Linked DNA regions of Oryctolagus cuniculus. The protein of the gene in region 2 interacts with the protein of the main gene of each other region in a pairwise test. Links are inferred from orthologs where the notes say so. Each region holds a gene or a part of one and is shown on either strand. Other genes may lie near its edges. The genes, in order: CXXC1, TAX1BP1, GABARAPL2, LGALS8, PLEKHN1, microtubule-associated proteins 1A/1B light chain 3C and TNFAIP3.

Evidence for each region.
Region 1: the proteins of TAX1BP1 (region 2) and CXXC1 interact in binary tests that used the Homo sapiens proteins (3 or more experiments, as listed by UniProt). The two-hybrid records come from large-scale screens. The link is inferred for Oryctolagus cuniculus from reciprocal best matches to the Homo sapiens genes TAX1BP1 and CXXC1.
Region 3: the proteins of TAX1BP1 (region 2) and GABARAPL2 interact in binary tests that used the Homo sapiens proteins (3 or more experiments, as listed by UniProt). The link is inferred for Oryctolagus cuniculus from reciprocal best matches to the Homo sapiens genes TAX1BP1 and GABARAPL2.
Region 4: the proteins of TAX1BP1 (region 2) and LGALS8 interact in binary tests that used the Homo sapiens proteins (3 or more experiments, as listed by UniProt). The link is inferred for Oryctolagus cuniculus from reciprocal best matches to the Homo sapiens genes TAX1BP1 and LGALS8.
Region 5: the proteins of TAX1BP1 (region 2) and PLEKHN1 interact in binary tests that used the Homo sapiens proteins (3 or more experiments, as listed by UniProt). The two-hybrid records come from large-scale screens. The link is inferred for Oryctolagus cuniculus from reciprocal best matches to the Homo sapiens genes TAX1BP1 and PLEKHN1.
Region 6: the proteins of TAX1BP1 (region 2) and microtubule-associated proteins 1A/1B light chain 3C interact in binary tests that used the Homo sapiens proteins (3 or more experiments, as listed by UniProt). The link is inferred for Oryctolagus cuniculus from reciprocal best matches to the Homo sapiens genes TAX1BP1 and MAP1LC3C.
Region 7: the proteins of TAX1BP1 (region 2) and TNFAIP3 interact in binary tests that used the Homo sapiens proteins (3 or more experiments, as listed by UniProt). The link is inferred for Oryctolagus cuniculus from reciprocal best matches to the Homo sapiens genes TAX1BP1 and TNFAIP3.

The regions. Positions count from the first base shown.
Region 1 is NC_091441.1:27,830,371-27,832,760, reverse strand, and holds the end of CXXC1 (CXXC-type zinc finger protein 1), read right to left. Parts: coding exon 2,292-2,390; intron 2,086-2,291; coding exon 1,878-2,085; intron 1,800-1,877; coding exon 1,689-1,799; intron 1,554-1,688; coding exon 1,504-1,553; intron 1,396-1,503; coding exon 1,299-1,395; intron 1,129-1,298; coding exon 976-1,128; intron 892-975; coding exon 745-891; 3' UTR 501-744; downstream 1-500. UniProt on the Homo sapiens protein: Transcriptional activator that exhibits a unique DNA binding specificity for CpG unmethylated motifs with a preference for CpGG.
Region 2 is NC_091447.1:19,339,193-19,342,692, reverse strand, and holds part of TAX1BP1 (tax1-binding protein 1), read right to left. Parts: intron 2,257-3,500; coding exon 2,069-2,256; intron 1-2,068.
Region 3 is NC_091449.1:57,942,871-57,946,872, reverse strand, and holds the start of GABARAPL2 (gamma-aminobutyric acid receptor-associated protein-like 2), read right to left. Parts: upstream 2,801-4,002; 5' UTR 2,525-2,800; coding exon 2,491-2,524; intron 2,145-2,490; coding exon 2,089-2,144; intron 1,072-2,088; coding exon 899-1,071; intron 1-898. UniProt on the Homo sapiens protein: Ubiquitin-like modifier involved in intra-Golgi traffic. Modulates intra-Golgi transport through coupling between NSF activity and SNAREs activation. It first stimulates the ATPase activity of NSF which in turn stimulates the association with GOSR1.
Region 4 is NC_091444.1:61,220,607-61,224,106, forward strand, and holds part of LGALS8 (galectin-8), read right to left. Parts: intron 2,667-3,500; coding exon 2,640-2,666; intron 2,515-2,639; coding exon 2,389-2,514; intron 1,877-2,388; coding exon 1,788-1,876; intron 1,038-1,787; coding exon 872-1,037; intron 1-871.
Region 5 is NC_091438.1:164,379,296-164,381,673, reverse strand, and holds part of PLEKHN1 (pleckstrin homology domain-containing family N member 1), read left to right. Parts: intron 1-79; coding exon 80-207; intron 208-283; coding exon 284-415; intron 416-611; coding exon 612-692; intron 693-1,240; coding exon 1,241-1,316; intron 1,317-1,455; coding exon 1,456-1,604; intron 1,605-1,999; coding exon 2,000-2,155; intron 2,156-2,241; coding exon 2,242-2,367; intron 2,368-2,378. UniProt on the Homo sapiens protein: Controls the stability of the leptin mRNA harboring an AU-rich element (ARE) in its 3' UTR, in cooperation with the RNA stabilizer ELAVL1.
Region 6 is NC_091444.1:55,581,969-55,586,065, reverse strand, and holds the start of microtubule-associated proteins 1A/1B light chain 3C, read right to left. Parts: upstream 2,801-4,097; 5' UTR 2,693-2,800; coding exon 2,635-2,692; intron 2,536-2,634; coding exon 2,480-2,535; intron 2,312-2,479; coding exon 2,205-2,311; intron 141-2,204; coding exon 1-140.
Region 7 is NC_091436.1:30,955,108-30,958,552, forward strand, and holds the end of TNFAIP3 (tumor necrosis factor alpha-induced protein 3), read right to left. Parts: intron 2,607-3,445; coding exon 2,322-2,606; 3' UTR 501-2,321; downstream 1-500. UniProt on the Homo sapiens protein: Ubiquitin-editing enzyme that contains both ubiquitin ligase and deubiquitinase activities.

The DNA.
Region 1 (2,390 bases), on a different chromosome or scaffold from region 2:
CTCGCCTCCCCGTCGGGCACCCGCGCGCCTGCGCGACTCGCTCCCCCGGGCGGCTGGTCCGGCCCGCGGGGGGCCATCTAGTTTGCGCCTGCGCTCGCCGGGGCCAGTCCGAGCCTGAGGGGGCGTGGACAGCGAGGTTGGTCTGGGTTCTCCATTTCCTCCGCTGTCCACGGGGAGTCACCGGCAAGGGAGGGAAGCTGGGGTCGAGCCTTCGCGCTGGCTGCCCCAGGGCGCGCAGACCCCCAACTCCAGGGGAGGGGTCGGTGCCGCATGGCAGGTAGCCGGGGCGTGGGGGGCGTGGCAGCCCCGCCCCAGGCGAGCCCTGCGCCGACCGCTGACCGCGGAGAGCCGGCGGGGGCTCCTGATCACTTTCCAGGAGCGGGTCGGCCGCTGCACGCACAGCTGGTCTGGACACGCAGCCACACTGTGCCGCCAGTGGGCGCCCCCGCCAGGGACTGCGTGGGGAGCCTGCACAGTGCGCACACATCAAGCAAGTCCTCTTCTTGCTTCAAAATTTTATTAACAAAACCGCGGGAGGCAAGGGTGAGCAAACTTCACAGTCCCACCCAGCACAAGAGCGGAGACAGACCGACGGACGCAGTCTGAGACCCCCTGGTAGGGGCAGATGGGCACTCAGGTGCTGGCTGGGCACAGGGAGAAACTTGGGGGCAGCTGAAGAAACAGACGAAGGAGGAACGAACAAACGGAGGAGCAGGCCGCCCGGGCGGGCCTGGGCCGGTGCGCTCAGCGGTCGGCGCTGGAGCGCAGGTCGGTGGTGAGCGGGTCGTGCTGGATTGTCTGGTGCAGCATCAAGGCCAGCAGCCCTGCGCGGTTTGTCATGGCTGTGCGCACGTTGCGCTCCTGCTCAAACAGCTCGTCCAACTTGTACCACTGCCGAAGGACACAGGGAGCCGTGAGAAGTCACAGGAGCCTGCGGGCCTGCGGGCCCCTGGCCACAGCCAGCACCCAACCTACCACGCGCACGCGCTCCAGGTCCACTTCGGCTCGCCGCAGCTTCTCCCAGCAGTAATGACGATTGCACTGGCGCTTGGGCAGGCGGCAGAAGTCACCTGTGAGCTCAAAGACATCCCGCACAAGAGGACACCCGCACACCTCGTCGGCTGGCACCTGCAGGGACACGCAGGGAGGGGATGCAGAGGTGGTGAGGAGCCCAGGAGCGGGGCGCACTCCTGGGGGAGGAATCGAGTGGCCAGGTAGGAAATGGAAAAGGACAGGAGCTGAGGGAGGAAGCAAAGAACAGGGAAGGGGAGGCAGGTGGGGGCTGAGGAAATGCTTACTTTGGGGTCCCGCGAGTGCTCAGGACACAGCACCTGGAGCCGCTTACAGTATGTTTTGCTCTGAGGGTTGTATACATCACAGAAGAGTCGTGTGGCCCTGGGGGTTGGAATCAACACGGTAACGGCCAGAAAGGAGGACCGAGGCCCCCTTATCCTTTACCGCGCCCATGGCCTGCCCCAGCTCCACAGAGCACCCTGCACTCACCCTTCAATGCGGGTGGGGTACATGGACCCGAAGGACGTCTGGCTCTCATACTGGAGGGATGAGCACAAAGGAGGGAACTGGATGTGCGCTGCACGCCCACCCAGGACACCACCCAGACAACACGGCCGTCCCTCGAGGCTCACTGGGCTCCCACACCATCCGCCCCCTCAGGCTGACACCCCGACCTTGGCATAGCAGCGCTCCATGTGGCGCAAGGCAACGCGTGGGTTGATGGGATGCCCGCAGGAAACGCAGAAGATCTGCAGGTCTGTGTCGTCGCTGTCATTCTCATTGCTCTGCGTGGGGCAGGAGGAACTGTGAGGCCAGGTGGGGACCAGGTGCCGGGCCCCGCGCTCCTGGGCGCGTGCGCTCACCTCTTCATCCTCGCGCACAGCCTGCTGCTTGGCACGCAGAATGATGGCCTCGAGCTCATGGAAGCGGCGCTCCATTTCCTGGAGGCGGGTGCGGGCGCTCTGCTGCTCCCGGCGGATGCGCTCCAGCAGCTTCTTGCCATGCTCCTCCGCGATGCAGGGGCTCTGCTGCCACTGCTGGATGCGCTGCGGGAGGATCTCGTAGATGCGGCTGCAGAGAGGCAGTGAGTGGGCTGCAGGCAGGGACCTGCCAGCCACGAGACGAGGGACGACCACTGGATGGGTGACTAAATGGGGCAGGCGGGTAGGTGGGCACTGGGCTAACTGAATGGTGGGTAGGTGACTGGCAGACAGAGGACTCGGGTCACGCCCTAGCCTGTACCCCTGCCTCTGCTGAACCTCCCAGGAAGGACTTACTTGGCTGCCAGCTTCATGCCGCAGTCATCCGAGCAATACTTGGAGCCGGGCTGGGCAGCGCGCACACAGCCAGGCCCCAGGCACTGTGGCAGTGATGCA
Region 2 (3,500 bases):
TAAGGATAGTCTCTTTTAAATCACTACTATTATTGTAGGTAAGAAAATTAAGAATAATTTTATATCGGCCGGCACCACAGCTCACTAGGTTAGTCCTCCACCTAGTGGCACCGGCACACCGGGTTCTAGTCCCGGTCGGGGCACCGGATTCTTTCCTGGTTGCCCCTTTTCCAGACCAGCTCTCTACTGTGGCCCGGGAAGGCAGTGGAGGATGGCCCAAGTGCTTGGGCCCTGCACCCCATGGGAGACCAGGAGAAGCACCTGGCTCCTGTCATCGGATCAGCGCGGTGCGCCGGCCGCAGCGTGCCAGCTGTGGCGGCCATTGGAGGGTGAACCAACGGCAAAAGGAAGACCTCTCTCTCTGTCTCTCTCACTGTCCACTCTGCCTGTCAAAAAAAAAATAATAATAATAATAATAATTTTATATCATCCAGTAGATAGATCACAAACATCCTACATTACCCTTCTAAATCTGCTATCTAATCAAGGATCACATTGCAGGACTACGTCTCATTAATCACTTTTAACACCAACGGGGACTCAGATAATGTCTCACATTTCTATTAATTTTGTGTATTAGATAAAAACATTAAAATTTTCATGAATGTGGAAACATAAAAGACTTGTCAAAAATAAAAAGTTTATCTCAGAAATATTTACTCAAGAGACTGCAACTTAAATTTTCTTTATAAAGTACCCTTTGTGGATTGAAAGAAATGAAATAGATCATGCTATGAACTGGAGAAAAGCAGAAGATAAACATGGATGTCAAAATGCCCATAATTTGTCTGTTGGAGGCCCTGAGATCAGGGTGGTCTATTAAGTATTCCAAAAGCTGTAATATAAATACTAACTACATTCTTCTTAAGAGCTAGGTCTGTTTCTGAATAGCCAACATTCAAATACCAGGCTAAAAACCTTGATCATCAGGCAGTTGTCACCACAAAATGCTTTAGTCACCCCATAAAAGTTACATTTCTGTATTAGAGATAAGAGAGGAATTTCTGGAAAGAGGAAGGAAAGATATGAAAAAATTCACAATAAAAATGACTGATTCCTTCTAACCTTTAAGGCTGTCTAATAAGAGTATTTGTATCTGTAATTGTTTTTCCTCTAATTTCCATTCTTCAAGGTAAATAAAGTAAAATCAAAAGCATAAAATATTTTACTTGAAAAAAAGTCACCCATCTGATTATAAATAAAAAGTAATGACCTATAATACACAAAATATGGATGTGCATTACCCAAAATGCATACTGAATCAACTTTAAATAAAAATTTGTCTTTTTACAGTAAAAAACACTATACACAATTACAGTAACTCAAATCCAGTATTCTGGTTTTTTAAGTATAAAGATGTTGGGAAATATGATCGTGAAATGACAAAAAGTTCTATATTCTCTTTCAATGACTACTAAAATTTAAGAAATGCAGTACTATTAGATCATCTATATACTATTAGATCATCTATATGCATATATATCATTTATACTACAACGAGTCTCATAACTGCACAATATGCAATTTTTAAAAAAGTGAAAAGCTTGTCACCTTTTCTTGTAAATTATGGTTAATCTAAGCTTATTCATTTGATAAGATGAACAAAAAGAATTATTCTAAAAATGTTCAATCTAAATTAAGAAACTTGTATTCACTTGACACACTTGAGAAAGCATACTCATAGCTCATAAAGCAAAGTTCACATCCAATCAGATTTCTCACTTTTATCCTCTCTCTCATGCTTGAGGTCCGAAGTCTATCCTATTCCACAATCAACAAATCACGCTACCAAAGAAGAAAGGTAAGGGTAAGGGAACATAAGGATGCTTAATGTCTAATTTCTCTCAGTAGGTGTTTCCTGCATCATCTACTATGCACAAAATACTCTTAGGCTCTAAGGACAAAGTCCCTGCCATATAATTGTAATGAAAAGACTTTTAGGTCTTTTAAAAAAGAGAGTATACATTTACTACTTTAGTGAAAAGCATTTGATTTTTGCAGATACTCTTAACCTGAAAATTCTTAAAATGCCAGCCAATATGAGCTCTGATTCATTGTTAATACCAACCTCAAGGAGGCCAGCTTTTGTGGTCACCACCAGCATGTCAGAATTCCCTTCATCTTCCATCGTAAGTAACTCTTCAACCGGAGAAGAAGCTCGAAACTGGAAAGGTGTACTTGCTCCACGAATTTCACCCTTATGGGTAACATAACAGAACTGATAAAATTCGCCATCATCATTTGGAAGGTAGTACCCTAAGAGGTAGTAAACAAATATTAAAACTTTCTATTATAAAATTAACATTATTTCAATGTAATTGAGCAACACTTGCCATCTCTCATTCCACACATTGTTTCTGGCACCTATGTTCAATATGTCTTTCCTACGGCTATTCACAAATTATACCAACTGACCGCCTCCTTTCTTCTCAAACATACCCAAACTTTTCATATTTTAGATGTAAAATTATTCTATCAGAAGATCCTTTCCTTCTGTATCTTCACTAGAGCAAAACCAACTCATATGGAAGAGGTGAGAATGTATTCTACCACGGGAGAAGGACTGCAGAATACTGGAGAATGACCAGTATAAAAATCTAGGAACTAGGAATGGAGGTGAGAATGTCATTTAATGAACTTTTTTTCCAATTCTAAATTTAATACATTTAAAAGACAATTATTAACTAGAAAACATGCTGCATACATGAATTGGGTAAAGGCTGGATATAGGGTGAGGTCTGTTCATGCAGCCATCTGGGGAGTGAACCAGCAGATGGAAGCTCTCTCACTCTGACTCTACCTCTAATTCTTTCAAATAAACAAACAAATCTTTAAGTGCACACACACACATATAGCCCATTAGAGTACACTCTGCATTACTATTTCTTATACACATGTCTTTTATCTCCTACATCAGATCTCAAAAACATGAGGGTAGATACAGAGATTGAAGGCAGATGCACACTTATTTTTATTATATGTTTGTGCATATAACATATTCCAGAATACCCCACAATGACTTATAAAAAAGAGGCATTCAACAAATGTGAAATGAATATACATCAATATATATTACTGAACATGAACATATTCACCTTAGAATATCCACTCAAAAATCTATAATCAATATACCTGCTATTCTTTTATGTCTTGAAACTTTCAGCTTCATTGTTGTGATATCTACTTCATCTGATTTCAATGTTTAAAAAATAGCTAGCTTTTCTTCTTAGAAACAAAGAGTAGCAGCAGAGAATATATAAGAATGATTCAAAAATGTTCATGGGGCCAGCCTTGTAACATTAACAGATTAAACCATCACCTGCAATGTCAGCATCCAATATGGGGACTGGTTTGTATCCCAGCTGCTCTACTTCCCATCCAGCTCCCTGTTAATACACCTGGGAAAAGCAGCAGACCATGTCCAAATCTTTGGACACCTGCACCCATGTGGGAGAACCAGAATAAACTCTTGGCTTGGGCCTGTCCATCCCTGGCTGTTG
Region 3 (4,002 bases), on a different chromosome or scaffold from region 2:
TGAAACCTTGTTTGGGTCACTAAGGGAAGATGTGGCCAGGAATTCACATTCAGCAAAAAGGTGGGTCCAGAATCTGGCTCCAGGCCTAGAAGTGCCCAATCAGTAAAGGCAATGGAGTGACCAGGAGTTTAGACTGAGCCAGTCCCTGTGCCCCATTCCAAGAGGACTAAGGCTGGCCTGTCAGTTATACCAAAGAGGGGAACTGTGACAGCCCTGCCTAGATTCAGGCCCCAAGTCACAACTGAATCCCAAAGGCGGCTTCCAGGCAGCACAGCACTGTGGCAGTCAAAGCAGGAGGTGCCGAGGCCGGTAAAAGAGCGCAGAGAGCCCTCAGAGCCTTTCCTGAGCAGCAGCCGTTTCCTCAGGCACGTCACATGCCTCGTGTTTATAAACACACTTGTAAGAATAACCTCAACTGAGCAAGTGGCTGCATCGAGTGAACTGGGGCCACAAGTGCTGGGGGCTGGGCGCTCGTCTCACCAAGGCAAAGAGCTGACGGAAGTGAGGAGAAGCAAGCAGGTGATCAATTGAAGCTGAGCCCCAGGAGGCCCAGAGCTCCTGACAGAGCAGCAGGGGCGACCTCACGGTCCCGTGAGAAACCTCGTCTGATACCTTGTTCTACCTACGGCTTAGGCCGACCTGCGTGCTCGACTATTTCCCAGTATTCTTGGGTGGCTGAGCCTGGGTTTTTCTTTTTCTTCCGTCTAGGCTTCGTTCTATTTTCTTAATCCAAAGTGCACTCCCATTTATGGCAGCCCTTTCTTGTTTTCCTGGCGCTCCTGGTGTCAGGGACCATAAAACCCAGATTCCAGGCAGATCCCGAGGCCTCCCAAGGGTCTGGTGGTGTTAAGCAGCCGGGCAGACGTCCCCCTCGGAGGTCTGTGTGGCAGCACCTCACCTGGACTGTGGGACTGTCTTATCCACGAACAGGAAGATCGCCTTTTCAGAAGGGAGCTGGATCCTCTTCCTGATGATCCACATGAACTGAGCCACAGTAATGTCAGATGGAACCAGGTACTTCCGTTTGTCAATGTCGACAATCTGGGAGCCTGAGACTTTTTCCACAATCACCTGGGAAAGTAAAGAGAAGTCAAGACTGGGTCTCTTCCCGTGAGGCTCTTCCCCCACACTGGCGGGGCACTGATGGGCAGAGTGTGGGCAAGGAGCTGGGTGGGAAACAGCCGAGCATGGCCAGACCCCGCCGGCTCCAGCAGCCACACGATCTGGACGTCAGGAACTGCTACACATCTATTATGGGGAAACAGTAAGTGCTTCTCTGTGGTCAATTAAGCCTCTCATCCTGATCGCGGCATGCCGAAGAATCAGCTACCGAGGCTTTCAACATCTCATCTGGGCAGATCTGAGAATGCCTGGTGGGTGTTTCCTGTACAGCCGCTTCCTCCAGGACCCCAGAGTGGACCCACCTCCACGCTGCAGAACTGAGGGCCCACGGACACAGCCGGCAAGCACGGGCGGGCCGCTGGGCTGCCTGGCAGGCTCCTCGGGTGGCCTGTCGCTTCTCTGAACAGCTTTCGGGTCTGTGCCCTCCCCAGGGGAACCTCTCCAAACCAACACGGACCACAAACTACAGGCGCGAATGCATCACTGACTAAAAGGAGACCCGGGAGAAGGGACTCCCCGCAGCTCTGCAGCATCCTCGGTCAGGCAAGACGACATGGTCCCCGTGCACAAGAGGAACGAGAAGTCCGCGAGCCCGACACGCAGAGTGAAAGACTGCACGTCCCGAAACCTAAGGGCCGCTTCCAGGACCACGGTGAGTCGCTCCGCCACCGTTCCCAAAAGTGGCAGTGACCTGTTGCCCTGTCCTAGAACATCGTTCCTTACGTAATTGGCCAGGGAGCCCTGGGGCTGTAGACAGCTCGCTGGCCCAGATCGGGAGATTCAGCACTGAGGCACCTGAACAGCACCAGCCCCAGCCCCTCGACCCCGGCCGGGGGACCGCCGGCCACGCCAAGCGGGGTCCGGAACCTCAGCTCACCCAGTGTCGCACGGCTGGGCCCCGTCGCCGCTCCCGGGCAGGGGACAGGGGAGCCAGCAGGGCGAGGGGGCGGGGAGTCCCACACTCACCGGAACCCGGTCGGGGTATTTCGCTCGGATCTTCGCGGATTCCACGCATCTGTGTTCTGAGAGAGAAACACACCGGGCTGACGGCGGCGCCTGCCCGCCGGGCCGGTGCCGGGCCCCAGGCCCTCGCGGTCCTCCTCCCCCGGCGACCTGCGCAAGCCCCGGCCCTCGTCCGGTGTCTCCGCGACCGCGGTCCTCTGCCCCCGGGCTCCCGGAGGAGGGGCCGCAGAGGGCCGCACCGGGCCAGGGGGCGGCTGCCCACGACGGCCCGGGCCCTCGGCGACCCGAGCCCGGAGCGCAGCATCCGCCCCGCCCGACCCGGCCCAGGGCGGCCCGAGTGGGGGAGGGGGCCCACCCGCCGCCCCCACTCCCCGCGGGCCGGCCGGCCGGCGGCCGAGAGCTTACCGAGCGAGTGGTCCTCCTTGAACATCCACTTCATGGCGGCGGCAGCGAGGGGACGCAGCCGGCTCTCGGGAGCCGCGGAGTTCAGCGAACCGACCACAACAACAACGACGGCAGCGACTACACGGCAGGCGGGACTTCCGGCTGCCGGAGCCTAGCAACTGGCAGGGGCGGGGCTTCCGGCGCCGCCCGCAGGGTCGCCGCTCCAGGGGGCGGGGCCGCACTAGGGGCGCAGGGGGCGATCGGGCTGTGGCGCTGGTGGCAGGGGTGTCTTGAGGGCTACTGGCTACTGGGTCGGGGGAGGACTGCTGGAGGACCTGTGACGGGGGTGGGGCGCCAGGGCGTTGGTGACTGATACGGAAGACTTTTGGGGGCGTGGCTGAGAGGCTAGGGCTCTTAGGGTTGTTCATAGGGGAAGTCTGGGACGGTGCTGACCAGAAGGGTATTTAGGAATATGAATGACAGAAGAGTGGTCTCTTGTTAGGGCGTTGACAGTTTGGGGGATATTTGCAGCGGTGAGGGGTGGGGGACTCAGCATAGGGGAGTGTTGGCAGTTTGAGGGCTGTGTGTGGGGAGGGGAGCTGATGACGTCCAGGGGGTCTTGCACTGAGGTCAGCCATGCTAGGTTACCTTGAATCCAGAAATCATACAGGAATCCCATTTCCTTCCTTGATCCACGAATATACGTGTGGATGCATATGGAGGGTGTCACAAATGCTTGTGTGACATCAGCGGCCACACAGCGATCCCTTAACCTTCACCCAGCAGGGAAGTTAGAGGTGACTGCCAGGCCGGAATTCCTCTGAGTGCTGGTCACGGGGCAGGTTTCCTTGTTGGGCAGTGGGAGTGGCTTAGCAGGCACAGCCGGGCCCTCTGTGTCACCTGCCTGCACGTAGCCTTGAGGTTCTCCACTCAGCGATGTGATTCCTTTCTTCCAAGCAGAGTCACCAGGGCAGGGTGTCCTGGGTCACCATCTGTTTATTAGCTGGTGAACATGTGACCGGAACATTCATCTAATTGGGCACATGACCCCTGCTACATGCTTGTGATTCTGCTGCATCCAAAAGGCCTGTGTGTTTGAATAATGTCATCCATCACTTCCTACAGATCGAATTCCCCACGGATGCTGTGGAATGCAGGGTTCAGTCTACAAGTATTTCTGTGCATTTACGGTTGCGTGTCTCAACAGCCAGAAGAGGGTTTGTTAACGAAGTGGAAAATCCTTTGAGTTTCATACTTAGAAACTGGTGCTGCCGCTGCAGCTCAATAGGCTAATCCTCCATCTAGCGGCGCCGGCACACCGGGTTCTAGTCCCAGTCGGGGCGCCAGATTCTGTCCCGGTTGCCCCTCTTCCAGGCCAGCTCTCTGCTGTGGCCCGGGAGTGCAGTGGAGGATGGCCCAAGTGCTTGGGCCCTGCACCCCATGGGAGACCAGGAGAAGCACCTGGCTCCTGCCATCAGATCAGCGCGGTGCGCCGGTCGCAGCACGCCGGCCGCGGCGGCCATTGGAGGGTGA
Region 4 (3,500 bases), on a different chromosome or scaffold from region 2:
GAAATTCATGAATAGTTTTTCCATACTATGCATTTTCCATGAACTTTTTGAGGATCCCTCATATAGATGGATTTCAAAATTTTTCAGCATCAAACTAAACGTTTCATTCTATTTTCCATGAATTTTGTGAAGTACCTGGTTTTTAACAGGATTGACTTCTGAACTGTAGCCAGCCAAGATGAGAGATGATAGTACAAGCAAGCACTTCTAGGGTCCCCACGTCCTCATGTCCACATGTGATTACACACGTTACTCCAGTCCTGAGAAAGTTCCTGTCAAGATTCCTATTACACTGGGATAGGAGTCCCCCCAGAGGTCTGCTGCCAGTTGGAATGCTCACTGCACAGTAGTGCCTGGGTTTGAGAACCAATTCCGCTCCTAATTCTAGCTTCCTGCTAGTGCACACTCTGGGAAGCAGATGGTGATGGCTCAAGTGCTTGGGTCCCTGCCACCCACATGGGAGACCCAGACTGAGTTTCTGGTCCAGCCCCAGCCAGTTCTGGTCCATTCCAGCATTTGGGGAATAAACCAATAGACAGTGATGAGAGCTCTGTCTGACCCTGTCTCTCAAAAAAAAAAAAAAATAAATAAATAAAAACAGATTCTTAATATAGGGATAACTCATTTTAATATATCAAATGTCAAATAATTCCAATGCAAATAATGTGATACTCTACTGATTTTGCCATTGATACCAACAGCCTATGTTATAAAAGTGAGCATTCAAATTACAGCCTCCAAGGAAAGAAACAAAAGCAACAGCAGCCCACAGTATCCGCCTGAGTTGGGATTTGATTTAAATGGGCCATTTATCCTATCTCTGCTCCCAAGATTCTTTTTCCTGGCCCATTTCCAAAAAATATCATCTTACCTCAAAGTACATCCCAGGACTAAATGGGAAACAAGTAATATTTCTCTCTTCTTCTCCCCAGGACTCTTGAAGAAAAGAATTTCTTACAAATGCTTTCAAATTCAGGCGTGGGTTCAAGTGTAGAGCAATATCCTTCGATTTTCCTGCTATCAGGTCAACATTAAAGCTTTTAAGAGGGAGGGAAAACAAATTTTAACCACAAATGTGTGAATAGTCTGTTCCTGCAATTTTCATCATCAGACTTGAGCTACTGTTACAAACATATGAAACACATACGCATATGGATATAGGTGAGATTCTCAACTCCTGAGACAGCATTCCATGTTACTTGGAAAATAAAAATACAAAACAACCTTCAAATCAGTGTTGAGGCAGAGATCTGCTTGGGCAGAAATCGAAGGTTTTTGTGCTACCAAACTAAATGGTTATTTCGGGCTGCAGGAACTGGACCCTTTCTGGCAGGTACTCTCTTTTAATCATTTCCAGGTGCTCTCTTCTTGAAAGCACGCAGCTTTCTGGGAAACAGCTCTGAAGTCAAGCTTTCAGAAGCCCGGACATCTCTGGCAAAGGTTCTTAAAGCAGAAATGTTGTAAGTCACATGAAAAGAGCTGCCCTGAAAAGCTGCCTGATTTATGAGGCTGCCCCAGAGCTCACAAGGCAAGGGCGGGCCTTGTGGACAAACATGCTATCCTCATGCGTGGCTAGAAAAGGCGCAGGTCAGAACCCGGGACTTCAGTCCTGGTTCTGCACCACGTAGTTGTTAGCAGTTGAACGTCTTCCTGCTTTAACAGTCTCGCCTTTCTAATGAGGATCTGACGCTAGACTTCTATCTCACAGGAGGTTAGGGGCTATCAGGCGGTAACAGGCACACGTGGAAAGCACTGGCACTGCTACCGGTAACGTTGATGATACCAACCCTTTGGCACCTGTGTTCACTTCTCCTTTGATGACGACAGTTCGCCCGGGGCCCATGGAAGAATTCAACCTCGCAACAAATGGCAGGCTCTAAAAAGAAGTCGCAGTCAGAACAAGGAAGGCTGCAGGGAAAATCTCACGGGCAAACTGTCCAGAGGGCACCAGGGAACGTTTAGGAGCCTGGAACCCCGTGAGGGGACAGACCAAACTTGCTTTGGTCCCAGGTGGATCCCTTGTGGTAGCGCTGTGCCTGTCAGTGCAAGCTCTCAATGAGGAAACGAACGGACACACAGTGCGACCTGATGTACTCTGTCCAAGTGACACTCATTCTGGGAGAGCCACCTGCACTTGGGCTCTGATGCAGTGCTCCATGTTCCTGAAGGGGTCTGAAGGGGTAGGGGGCAGCCACGCTGGGAGGAGTGGAGGAGCTACAGGCCCATGGCCCAGAGACATATACCCAGTGACCCTCATGTCTGTCCAGGGACAGCATACAAATGCAGCGTGGCTGCTTTGGGCTTCTACTTGGGGGTAGGGTTTATACTTAACAGCTACCTAAAACTTAGTTTTTCTAAAGAATTAAGAAAATCTGTGGCTCTTCAAACCTTTGACAAATAGCTGGTAGGTAGTATTTTGGTGCAAGTCAAAGTGTGATTGACAGTCGAATCTTTGCTCTTGGTGTAGGCAGTTCTGGGTACGACTTTAGAAATGTCTCCTTCTCTATTACTAGGCTGTAGGGAAACAGTTCTACAATAAGGAATGCAGTGAATGAAGCTGTCTTTCAAGGTTCAACTATTCATTTTCTAGGCAATTTTATAAAATGTTCCCAGGTAAGAACTCAGAGAAAACTACTTACAAACTGTGGCGTGCCAGACTTCTGCACCTATGGGAGGAGAATCAAGAAATGAGAACACTGGAAAGACAAGACATACATTTTATAATGTGAGCAGTCTGATCTTGTTGGTTGTGATGAGCTGAGCCTGGCCAGGGTCTGGGCCATTCAGGCCCACTCTCTGCTGGTGTGACACACAGTGATTCCTGACTGTGCTATGGAGGTGGAAAGGGCAACTCAGGCTGGGAATGAACTCTAAGAGCCCTATTGATCTGAGTCCTTTATCCTCCACTATGAGTGAGTAATTTTTCACAGGACTGCATGTGAGCTTCAAACACATTTAACTTGTTCTTTCCAAGTACCCCCAAAATGCTGATTATACTCTTTGTTGGTGAGGTATGAATATGCTGAGATTGGAAGACCTTACTTCTCCATTAATAGTAGCACAGATGCAATTTTTGAACTGCACTTGTTCCCAAAGGGAGAGAAGATGCATATGGAAGTTTATTTTCTAATGCACTTGGCTGGTGTATGATATTTGTAAATATCTCATGACTGCCCTACTTGATGGTTTAGAGTCAGACACACTTCATGTTCCATAGGAACGGTGGGTAACTGTCACACAAACTGAGAGGCTAAGCATCAGCCAACACTTGAGTGCCTACCCAAATAAGAAGTATATACCACAATTCTCAATTACTTCCATCCTAGCTTCGTACTAAAATCCTAATTTTAGGGGGCAGCTGGCCTAGCAGTTAAGGTGTCGCTTGGGATGCCCATATACCATATCAGAGTTCCAGGACTGGAGTCTTGGCTGTGCTCTTGATTCTGTCTTCCTGCTAAAGTGCCCAAAGGAGCAGCAAGTGACAGCTCAAGTAGCTGGGA
Region 5 (2,378 bases), on a different chromosome or scaffold from region 2:
CCAGGGTCCCGGGTCTTTCCTGCAGGTGTCTGGGGGCTCCAGGCTCAGCCCACCCAGCCTGCTCTGCCCCCTTCCCCAGGCCCCCTGCCTGCCCCGCTCCTGGTGCTCTGCCCTGGCGAGGCTGAGCTGAGCCGCTGGCTGTTCCACCTGGAGAAGCAGATGGCCCTCGCCAGGGGGCTGCCCCGCTGCCATTCCGCGCCACCTCAGGTCAGTGCCAGGAAACCCTGCACCTGTTCCCCACCCCCACCCCTGCCTGGCCTGCCCTAGACCTCCCTCTCCCCAGAGCCCCCCTGGGGACGAGCCCCCCTGGACACTGCACCAACATCTGACCCGACTGCGGACAGCGCCAGGGCCGGGACCAGCAGGTGCCCCCATCTGTGCCTCCAGGGTCAAGCTGCAGCATCTGCCCTCACAGGTGCACAGCAGGGGACGGGGGGGTCCAGGTGGGGGCGCCAAAGCCCTCAGCCCTCACAGGTGGACAGGAGGGGATGGGAGGGTCCAGGTAGGCGGGCCCCCTCAGCCCTCACAGGTGGGCAGGAGGGGACAGGAGGGTGTGGGTGTGGGGTCCAAGCCCCACTCAGGGCCCAGAATCCTCTCTGATCCCCCTGCAGGAGCAATGGGACCGGCTCCTGGTCCTGTACCCAGCGTCCCTGGCCATCTTCTCGGAGGAACCAGACGGGTTTAGCTTTAAGGTAGGCCCCTCCCACCCGTGGTGGAGCCACCCAGGGAGGCGCCCGGTGTGTGGGGGTGGGAGGGGGCAGCAACTCAGGAGGAACCTGTATTTCGGGGCCTGTTGGGACAGAGCACACGGGCCCTGCCCACCAGGCCCCACTGCCCTGGTCAGTAAGTCTGGTCTTGGTTCCGGTGGGGAGAGAGGATCCTGATCTGAGTGACCCATCTCACTCTGGAGGGTGCCCAGCCAGCGGTCTGTCGTGCTGGGACGGGTGCAGGGGTGGGGCTCACTCCAGGTGCCTTTGAGTGATGTCTTCCAGGCGCCTGAGGGGCGTGTGTGTGTGTATGCGTGTGTGTGTGCGCGTGTCCTCTGGGGCCAAAGCCTGTTGGCGGTCTGCACTCACACCCAGGGGCTGCCGTACCACGGCCCCATGGGGTGGTGAGGCCCCACCAGGAGGCTGGGTGGGAGGGGGCAGCCTGGCCTCCTTCAGCCTCCATGCCAGGCTGAGTGCCCAGCCCGGCTCCAGATGGCAGGATGGAGGCCCTGCCCTTAGTCACTGCCCCCCAGGGAGAGCTCCCCCTGAGCGCCATCCATATCAACCTGGAGGAGAAGGAGAAACAGATCCGCTCCTTCCTGATCGAAGGTGGGTGCTTATCTGGACCCTGCCCCTCCTGGCGGGGCCACGGGCGGGAGGCCAGAGCCTGCTGGGGCCCCGGCTCTGCTGAGCGGGCCCTGTGTGGTACACCCGCCCTGCCAGGCTCTGGCCTCATGTGTCCATGCAGGCCACCTCATCAACACCATCCGTGTGGCGTGTGCCAGCTACGAGGATTACAGCCACTGGCTGCTCTGCCTCCGGGCAGTCTCCCGCCGGGATGGGGCCCCCCTGCTGTCTGGCCCTGAGGATGTCCTGGGGTCCCTGGGGCCTGCGCAGGTGAGAAGTCAACAGGGACCCTGCAGCCAGGTCCTGGACAGTGGTAAAAGCCAGAGGCAGAGGGCGGAACCAGACATAGGTAAGGTGGGGAGAGGGGTCGAGGCAGCTGGCTCCACGCCCTCCTGCCCGGGTCACGGGGTGGCCCAGATTCACGCTCCTGATCCTCCACGAGCCCCCTACCTTCACCAGCCACACTCTGCCCCCAAGGGCTTGGTGCTGTCCAGCCTGAGTGAGGACTCCAGGGGGTCAGGAATCCATGAGGCATGGAGGGGCCTGGGTCCTCCCCCATCTGGACTGGATTCCTCGGAGGGGGGAGCTTGAACTGGAGGGTGCTCTAGACATCCTCAGGGACTTGTGTGGGGAGGGTCCCACGGAACTTTGGGGAAATTTCTCAGTCTCCCCAGGACCAGGCCAACCCTGAGTGCACCAGCATCGGCTGGCGGAGAGCAGAGCTGAGACGTGCGGGCAGCAGCCGGTTACCCAGGGGGAAGGCCTGGGTGGAAGGGCCGGGCCCAGCCGCACCACGGCACCTGCACCTGGACCTGAGCAAGGTGGGCCCAGCGTGCAGTCCTACCCGGCTCCCTTGCACTCCGCCTGCTGGCCACTGTCTCTCAGACTGAGGCTGTCTTTCCCGTAGGTGAGCAGGCTGGGCCTGGAGGGAGAGCCCCCAGTGGAGGCACCACACTCCCCACTCTATGCCGACCCCTACACACCCCCTGCCACTTCCCACCGCAAGATCATGGATGTCCGCAGCCTTAATGAGGTCAGTCCTGT
Region 6 (4,097 bases), on a different chromosome or scaffold from region 2:
AGGCATAGGTCATGTAGACAAAGCCGTCCTTGTCCTTGTAGTCCCGATAGATCTCTGCCATGGTCATGCTCATGCTGACCAAGCTCTTGTTGTCCACCAGGAGGTAAAAGGCTTCGGTGGCCCTCAGGACCATGCGGCTCCTGGGAAGGGGAGAAGGGTAGTGAGAGACTTGACCTGGGAATCAGCTTAGGAATCTGAAGGCTCAGGATGTGCAAGACAACTGAATTGCCCACAGCTGTTCCTGGAACTTTAAGATCCTCAGGGCCTCCCAGTTGGGCCCAAAGGATGAGGCCATTCCATTTTTAACTAAGGCGAATACCAACACAATAATGCTAAGCAAATAAGTCCTAGGTCTCGTTGAAAGCTATTTCCCCAGTGAATAAGAGGCATGGAGAACACTGCCCCCCCTTCCCTGCTTTCTGTGGGCTTCATGCAGGCCACCTGTTTGTGCTGCTGCTCCTGCCCACGCGGTTTCTGGCCTGTAGCTTCCTGCACATGGCCCCCGTTATGCTCTCTGCCTGGTATGGAACTCCTAGTTTATCTTTCTGATCCCCTCCTCCCTTAATAAAACCCTTAAGTTCCTGTTTATTTCTCTTGCTTCCCCAAGTAAATGCTGAGCTTAAAAAAAAAAAAAAAAGAAAGCTATTTCCCCAAGGGTGCAAGAATGATACATTATCTTTCCAGCGTCTCACAATTAAACAGGGGTGGAAAGGCCTTGAAGTGTGCCCTTCCCTTCCCTTGCCATTTCTCCTCTGCCACCGACGAGATGGAGAAGGAGCAAGGCTTAGTTGGACATCCTTTAAATGTCAAGGGTAAACAGACTTCCAATTCAGTGTGCAGTGATTGACAGTGAATCAATATAGGTGCCTACAGGAAGGCTCAGTCTCACCTTTCACACACTTCCATTTGCTCTAATTAGTGAAACAGACACAATTTCCCACTGCACTCTCAGAATTTTGAGCCTCGATGTGGGATAAGATCAAACATAAATGGGACATGGGGAGTGACTGGAATCTGATTCAGTTTATACTCAGGTAATTTCTCCTAAAAGAATACCAAAGGTATTCATTCTGGCTATTGCCCAGTGCCTTTGGGTGAAAAGCAACCATTCTGCAGTGGGGTGGGGGTGGAAGAAGAGTGGAACTAGGGATGGGAATACTGCCCTTGGCTGGGTTGGAAAAGCTCCTGTGCCCGAGCTTGCACTCATCTCCTTCATTTCGCAAACTCACTTTTGATGAGTGTTTGGGCATCCCCAAGGGGGAGAAGGCCACAGACAGGCATTATTGTCTATTTTGTTCACAGTTGGCTCTACAGAGTCCAGAAGACACACAGAATACAGTTGGTGCTCAATAAACATTGATGAGGATGAGGATGAGGATGTAGGTTGGGAGCCAGGAGCAGTGACTGGGAAGAGGAAAAAGGGTTCTCCATCCCCAAGGGGTCACCTAATGATTAACTGATACAATGGGATCTCCTCCCGACTTTGATATCTCTTTAGGCATCTGTCTTCACAATGAACTTGGAAACTTCGACAACTCTTTGAAACAAAACAAAATGAAGACACTCATTCATTCACAGTGAGCCCTCAAAGCAACAGGCAACAGTGGCTATTCAGCCTCCAAACAGACTTTTCAACCTGGTGAGGACTTAGTCACTGGCTGTATTTACTCACAAATCATTTTCTAATTGCACTCATGCATCAGGCGACACCACTTAACCCTCTTAAGCTTTAAGAAGGGCAGGGACCTTTTGCTTTTCAAACAGTTCCCCGTCTGCCAGAAACACAAACCCTGAGGAAAGCTGCTGCTCTCTGCCAGGGACACGCAGACTGGCTTGCACACAGTTTCTGGAAGAAGGATCTTCTGGATGAGTTCGAGAGCCAGAACTACTCTAGGGAATTCTTCGAAATGTCGGCAGCTCTTGCAGTCTGTTGCTTGTTGTCTAAGGGGTTCTCCCCACTTGTTTAAAATAGAATAATTCTCACAGCATCTTTTTAGGGCACAACAGAATCTAAAAGATGAGTGAGTCACCAAAAGATCTCAACCCCCTTTTCTTCTGGAATACCCACATTCCAACCAAAGAATGCAGCAAACTTACAGATAGTTGCAAAATTCTCTAATTCTCTCTCTCTCTCTCTCTCTCTCTCTCACACACACACACACACACACACACACACACACACACATGTCCGCTGTGTCACCTACCGTATGATGCTGAGAAACTGGGTCATGGTCAGCTCCTGAGGAACCAAGAACTTGGTTTTGTCCAGCAGGGGCAGGAGCTTCTCTCTGGGGTAGCGCTCCACTATCACCTGCCAAGAGTATTAGCATGGGTCTCTCCTGAGGCAGGTGCCTAAGAATGTGACTCAGAGCCCCCAGTATCTTAGGGACTTGGGAAAGAGAGGGGGAGGCCATTGTTTGATCTTTGTTTCTTCAAAGAACAGATACAGGCTCCTCTGGGGAAGGACAGTGAGTCTTACCGGGATCTTGTTTGGGAACTTTGCCCGGATTCCAGCAACTTCCTCTTGTCTGGTTGCTGTAGAGATTTCAGGTAGAAAAGAGTAAGTGGACAGTTAGAGAAAGATGCATCCTCTCCTGCCTCTCAAGTTACCCAGAGAGCTGCCCAGAGCTTTACCTAGGCTCTTCCTCTGCTTGAAGGGTCTGAGGCTTGGGTTTTTCTGTAGAGGCGGCATTTTGCTCAACAGCTGTGTCTGTGTTGGTCTTTAAAGGGAAAAAGAAAAAAAAAACCCACAACTCATTCCCCCAGCTGCATCCACGCTGTCTGCAGGAGCCTAAAGGAGGCTTTAAATAGGGCTGAGTGACATCAGGCCAATCCTGACCCTCCCTTCTCTCGACTCCCCCTTCCTGGGCAGCAGGAGGTCAGTGCTGAGGCTGGAAATGGAATGGCCACCTGCTTGCTGGTCAGAGAAAGTCACTTTGCTCTTGACCAGTTCAAGATGTTTCTTTGCTAAAGAAATTAGGGTTCATGATGAAATCATTGGAATGCACACTCTGACAGCCGAGGTATGGGCTGAGGACTTTAGAGAGGTGGAACTGCCTTATGCCACGGTTGTTTTTGCACTTCAGTAATGAACCAGCTTGAGGTGAGTCCATGATAAATCTGCCTCTCTCTGAAATGTGCTCCATAATTCTCAAGGCAGTCTTTGCTGCTTTTCAAAGAACAAACCCCTGTATTCAGAAAGCTTAAGTGATTTGCTTAAAGCCACAATAGCTAGTGAGAAGGCAGTTGGGATTAGAACCCAGCTGAGGCACAAGGTAGACATACATGACAGTATGTGGTGTCATTTATCTTCTCTGCAATAGTGGCAGGAAGGAGGGACCGTTCTAGGATCTTTAAGAAGTGAGGTGAGCAGCAGAGGCACACAGAAGGTAATTTTCTTGCCTTGGGATCAAACATGGAGTAGCAGGCGGAAGGTGGCTCTCTTGATTCTCAGAGCTTGCTTCCAGATTCTTATGCCTATCCAAGGAGCCCTTCAGATTCTGAGTGAGCAGGTTTACGTTTCCTTTGTCGTGAAGAGTGCTTATGTATACTCTGACTTCCCAGCAGTCATGGAACAGTGAAGAGTTTTGAAGTGAATACACAATAGAGTGGAGGAGGGAAATATGTTCTCCATATTTGCAGGTTGAGTAGAAAGGAAGGGTGAGTCTCAGGGCTTTAGGTCAGAGATCAGGAATAGGCAGCAGGTGCTTAACTGACAGCATCACTGAAGAGAGAAATTGACCTCATGCTGTTTCACTTGTTCTTCAAAAGGAGGCAGCCCCTCAGGTGTGCATAATACAAAGCAGGTGTGTGACACTCTGGGGCCAAGCATCTTTCAAGTCTGGATTTCATTTAAATCTCCCCAGTTGCCTTGCAGGTTGGAAGGCCAGGTGGGAAGCATACCTTGCAGGGATCAAGACAACTCGGTCAGATTACACTGAGGTGGGACCCATCCTACACTGGGATTCTCAGGGGCAGGCCTGGGCTCCGACACCATGCAAAGCTGGTGCCAGGCGTGGTGCTCCCACTACATTCACCTTAACTTCTGATCTTATGTAGGTGATTTCACTTTACTAATTATGATTTTGAATACCTTA
Region 7 (3,445 bases), on a different chromosome or scaffold from region 2:
GAGAGACAGAGATCTTTCACCCACTGGTTTACTTCCCAAATGCCTGCTATGGCCAGGGCTGCAACAGGCCAAAGCCAGGAGCCAGAACTCCATCTGAGTCCCTCATAGGGTGGCAGGGTCCCAGGCATTCATTGCCTCCCAGGAAGCATTAGCAGGAAGCTGGCTCACCAGCAGAGCAATCAGGACTTGAATTGGCACTCTGATTCCGGATGCAGCTTAACCTACTACACCCCAATAGCTGGCACTAGATCCAACCTCTTCAAGGTGGGTCCTCCCCTTTCAATACAGCTACACTGGTGACCATGCTGCCGAGGGACAGCCAGTCTGTCACAGCACAGCCCTACCCTCACACAGTCGTATCATTTTTTTAAAGCAACTTCACTATCCATGGATGAGGGAAGTATTCTTTGCCCAAATGTACACCAAAATATAGTTGCTTAGAAAGCTGTTTTCATATTTGAGGCTTTGTTTCAGTGTTCATCAATAAAAAAACATCAAAATATGTTCTTAAATAATTTATTTTTTAATATTGACTCTTGTGAAAGTTACACTTATTCGGGAAAACCAAGGAATTCAACAAAGTATGAGACAACTAAATGTGCAAATTTCAAATATTTTCTATAGCGAGTATAAATAATTCCATTTCTTTTCACATTAAGAAAGAAAATATTGATAGACAAAATATTAGGCTATCAACTTTAAAGGAACTAGGTGAACACACTGATGTTTCTTTGACATCTTTAGCAAGAAATCATAAAGATTTACATCAGCGAACAGACATGTCAGGTAACACGAGGGAAGGCTATGTAGAGTTATGGATCACAGATATTTTGGGGTGACGACTCTAGACCCCAAAACTGGCAGCCTTTACCCCTGGGAGAAACACACTTCCCTCTTTTTTCTTTTTTTTTTTTTTTCTGAGTAACAATGACAATAACACAAAGCACACAGAGAAACTGCAGGCCAATGACACACACACACATCCTCATCCTCTTGCTTCCTACTTGGTTTCTGTGTCCCACGGCTGGACTCAAGGCCACTGCCTAAAACCCCAGGACACAGCATTAACACAGCAAATGAAACCACGACGAAAAGTCACATCTTGCCCTGTGACCGCCCTCCCCATCTCATGCCTACTTCTTGCCTATCATATCTCCAAGGAGGTAGGATACTCAGAAGCACCCATAACACAGGACAACTTCTTAGCAAATCAGAGGGGGAGGCATGAGATTCGAATGGATTTCCTCCTGATACAATTCCTTCTCGCCAAGGGAGGCAAGCAGCAAGGTGTCTGCAGGCAGCTCCACTCCCTGCTGTGGTCAGGAGCTCGCCTGGGTCCGGAACGCGACCAAAGCAAAGATGCTATCTCACAGGAGATACTGCAGCCTTTCCCCAGAGCTGAGGAAACAGCTTCATTTAAATAATCTTGACATTGGTAATAAAATAAATAAAGCGGATTACACAGACACAACTGGAGTGCTCCCTTTCCAAAGGCAGCTGGTTGAGTTCACGGAAGCTGTGTATACAGGTGGTGCCCCAGCAACAACCAGAAAATAGGTTATTATTATTCAGTCTTCCCACATATACCTCTATTATTAATAATAATAAAAAATCCCTCATACATAAGGGTGTATCACCTATGTACACAGATTTACACACACCTTGGTTCAAGCGAACCTCTTCAGCAGACAATGATAACCAAGAGAGTTACACATTTTCCCACTAAAATATTCTGAGTTTTCAAAGGTGCACGTTGTAAAGAGCAGCTTGCTTCCTTTCCATCGTTGACAGCGTCGGTCCCAGCAGCTCCGTCACAGTCCGTTCTGCTCTCTGGCCGGCTCACAGGGAAGGGGACGTGGCAGGTGGGGACACGGTGGACTCCTGACACTCTCTGGACGTGGGCGTCTCCCTGAGCTTCGGGCAGAGGGCCTCTGTCCCACGAGGCTTCAGCTTCCCCCCTCTGAGTGGGGTGGTGACAGGGCAGGGGGCGAGGCCCTGGCTCTCCCAGCCCACCCGCCTGGGTGAGCTCTCCCTTTCCTCAACAAGACGACGAGGCAGTCCCGATGGGCAGGGTCCGGGTCCGGAGATGCTCCGGGCCTTCCACATGGTGGCATGGGAGGATCCAGTCCCCGGCTCTGCTGGGTGGACGCCCCGGTCACCAAACCCGAGCCCATCCCCATCACGGCCTGGATGAAGAGCTTATCTGTCGTTCCCTGCTCAGCCACGCTTGAGCCCACTCCCCGTGGCGGGCACTGCCCCTCCAGTGGGCTCTGGAGGCCTGGAGTATAGCACCACGTTGACGGCAGCTGGCCTGTTTCCCGTCAGCCATACATCTGCTTGAACTGAAAGCACTCGTTGCAGTAGCCATTACACTTGGCATTGCCAAAGTGGTCGCAGGCTGGGGCCCGGCAGCGCTGCTTGGGGGGCTCCTCGGGGGCGAGCTCTCCGCGGGGGACGCCGGAGCCCACGCGCTGGCTGAGGTGCTGGCACTCCATGCAGAGCTCCTCACTACGGCACGCCAGGATGTTCCTGCAGGTGGCCCGGGCGCACTTAGGCCTGGAGCTGCTCTGTGTGGTTCGGGGCACGTCTCTGCGCTGGCTCGATCTCTGGGTGGGAAGAACAGACAGATTTGTGGCTCGTGTTTCAAAGGGAGGGCACAAGATCTCATTGGACACAGCAGATTCCACACCCCTGCAAGGGAGCAGCGGGCAGGTGCTGTCAGCGAGCTGGACATGGCCTTCCGATCCCCAGGAAACTGGACCTCGCCCTGGGGAGGTCAAGCCCACCACCACTGGCAGTGAAGCCGGCCCACCTCTCTTCTATCGGGACTGAGGACCGGCTGTGCTTACTTAGCCAATTCCTACCGCTCTACAGCTAGCTGCAGGCCTGCTTTGAGGCCGCTAAGCGGAATCCCCTGGCTTCTGCCTTCTCTCCCTGTGATAAAGGATCGTTGAAGAAGCCTGCCTTTGCGATGTCTGTGTTTCTGCCACAATTCAAGAAATCTTGGATTACTACCTGGCTTTTTGGAAGCTTGAAGAGGTTTTATTCTATGGCAGATTTTATCTGCTTTATAAAATGACTTCTAAAGTATACTTAGTTCAAGGAAATCAATAGCAGTCCCTCCAATCTGGGAAGATAAGGTGAATGGGATTTTTATCCCTTAGATCTTCCTGCAGACTTGAGTGACAGAGAGAGGGAGACAGAGAAAGAGAGAGAGAGAATCTTCCACTTACTGGTTCACTCCCCAAGTGGTTGCAAGGGCCAGGGCTGGGTCAGGCCAAAACCAGGAGTTTGGAACTCCAGCCTGGTCTCCCAAGTGGGTGGCAGAAGCCCAGGTACATCCTTTGGTGCTTCCCTCGTGCATTAGCAGGGAGCTGGATCGGAAGTGGAGCAGCTGGGACTGCAAGCAGTGCTCATATTTGGGATGCTGGCATCACCGGCAGCA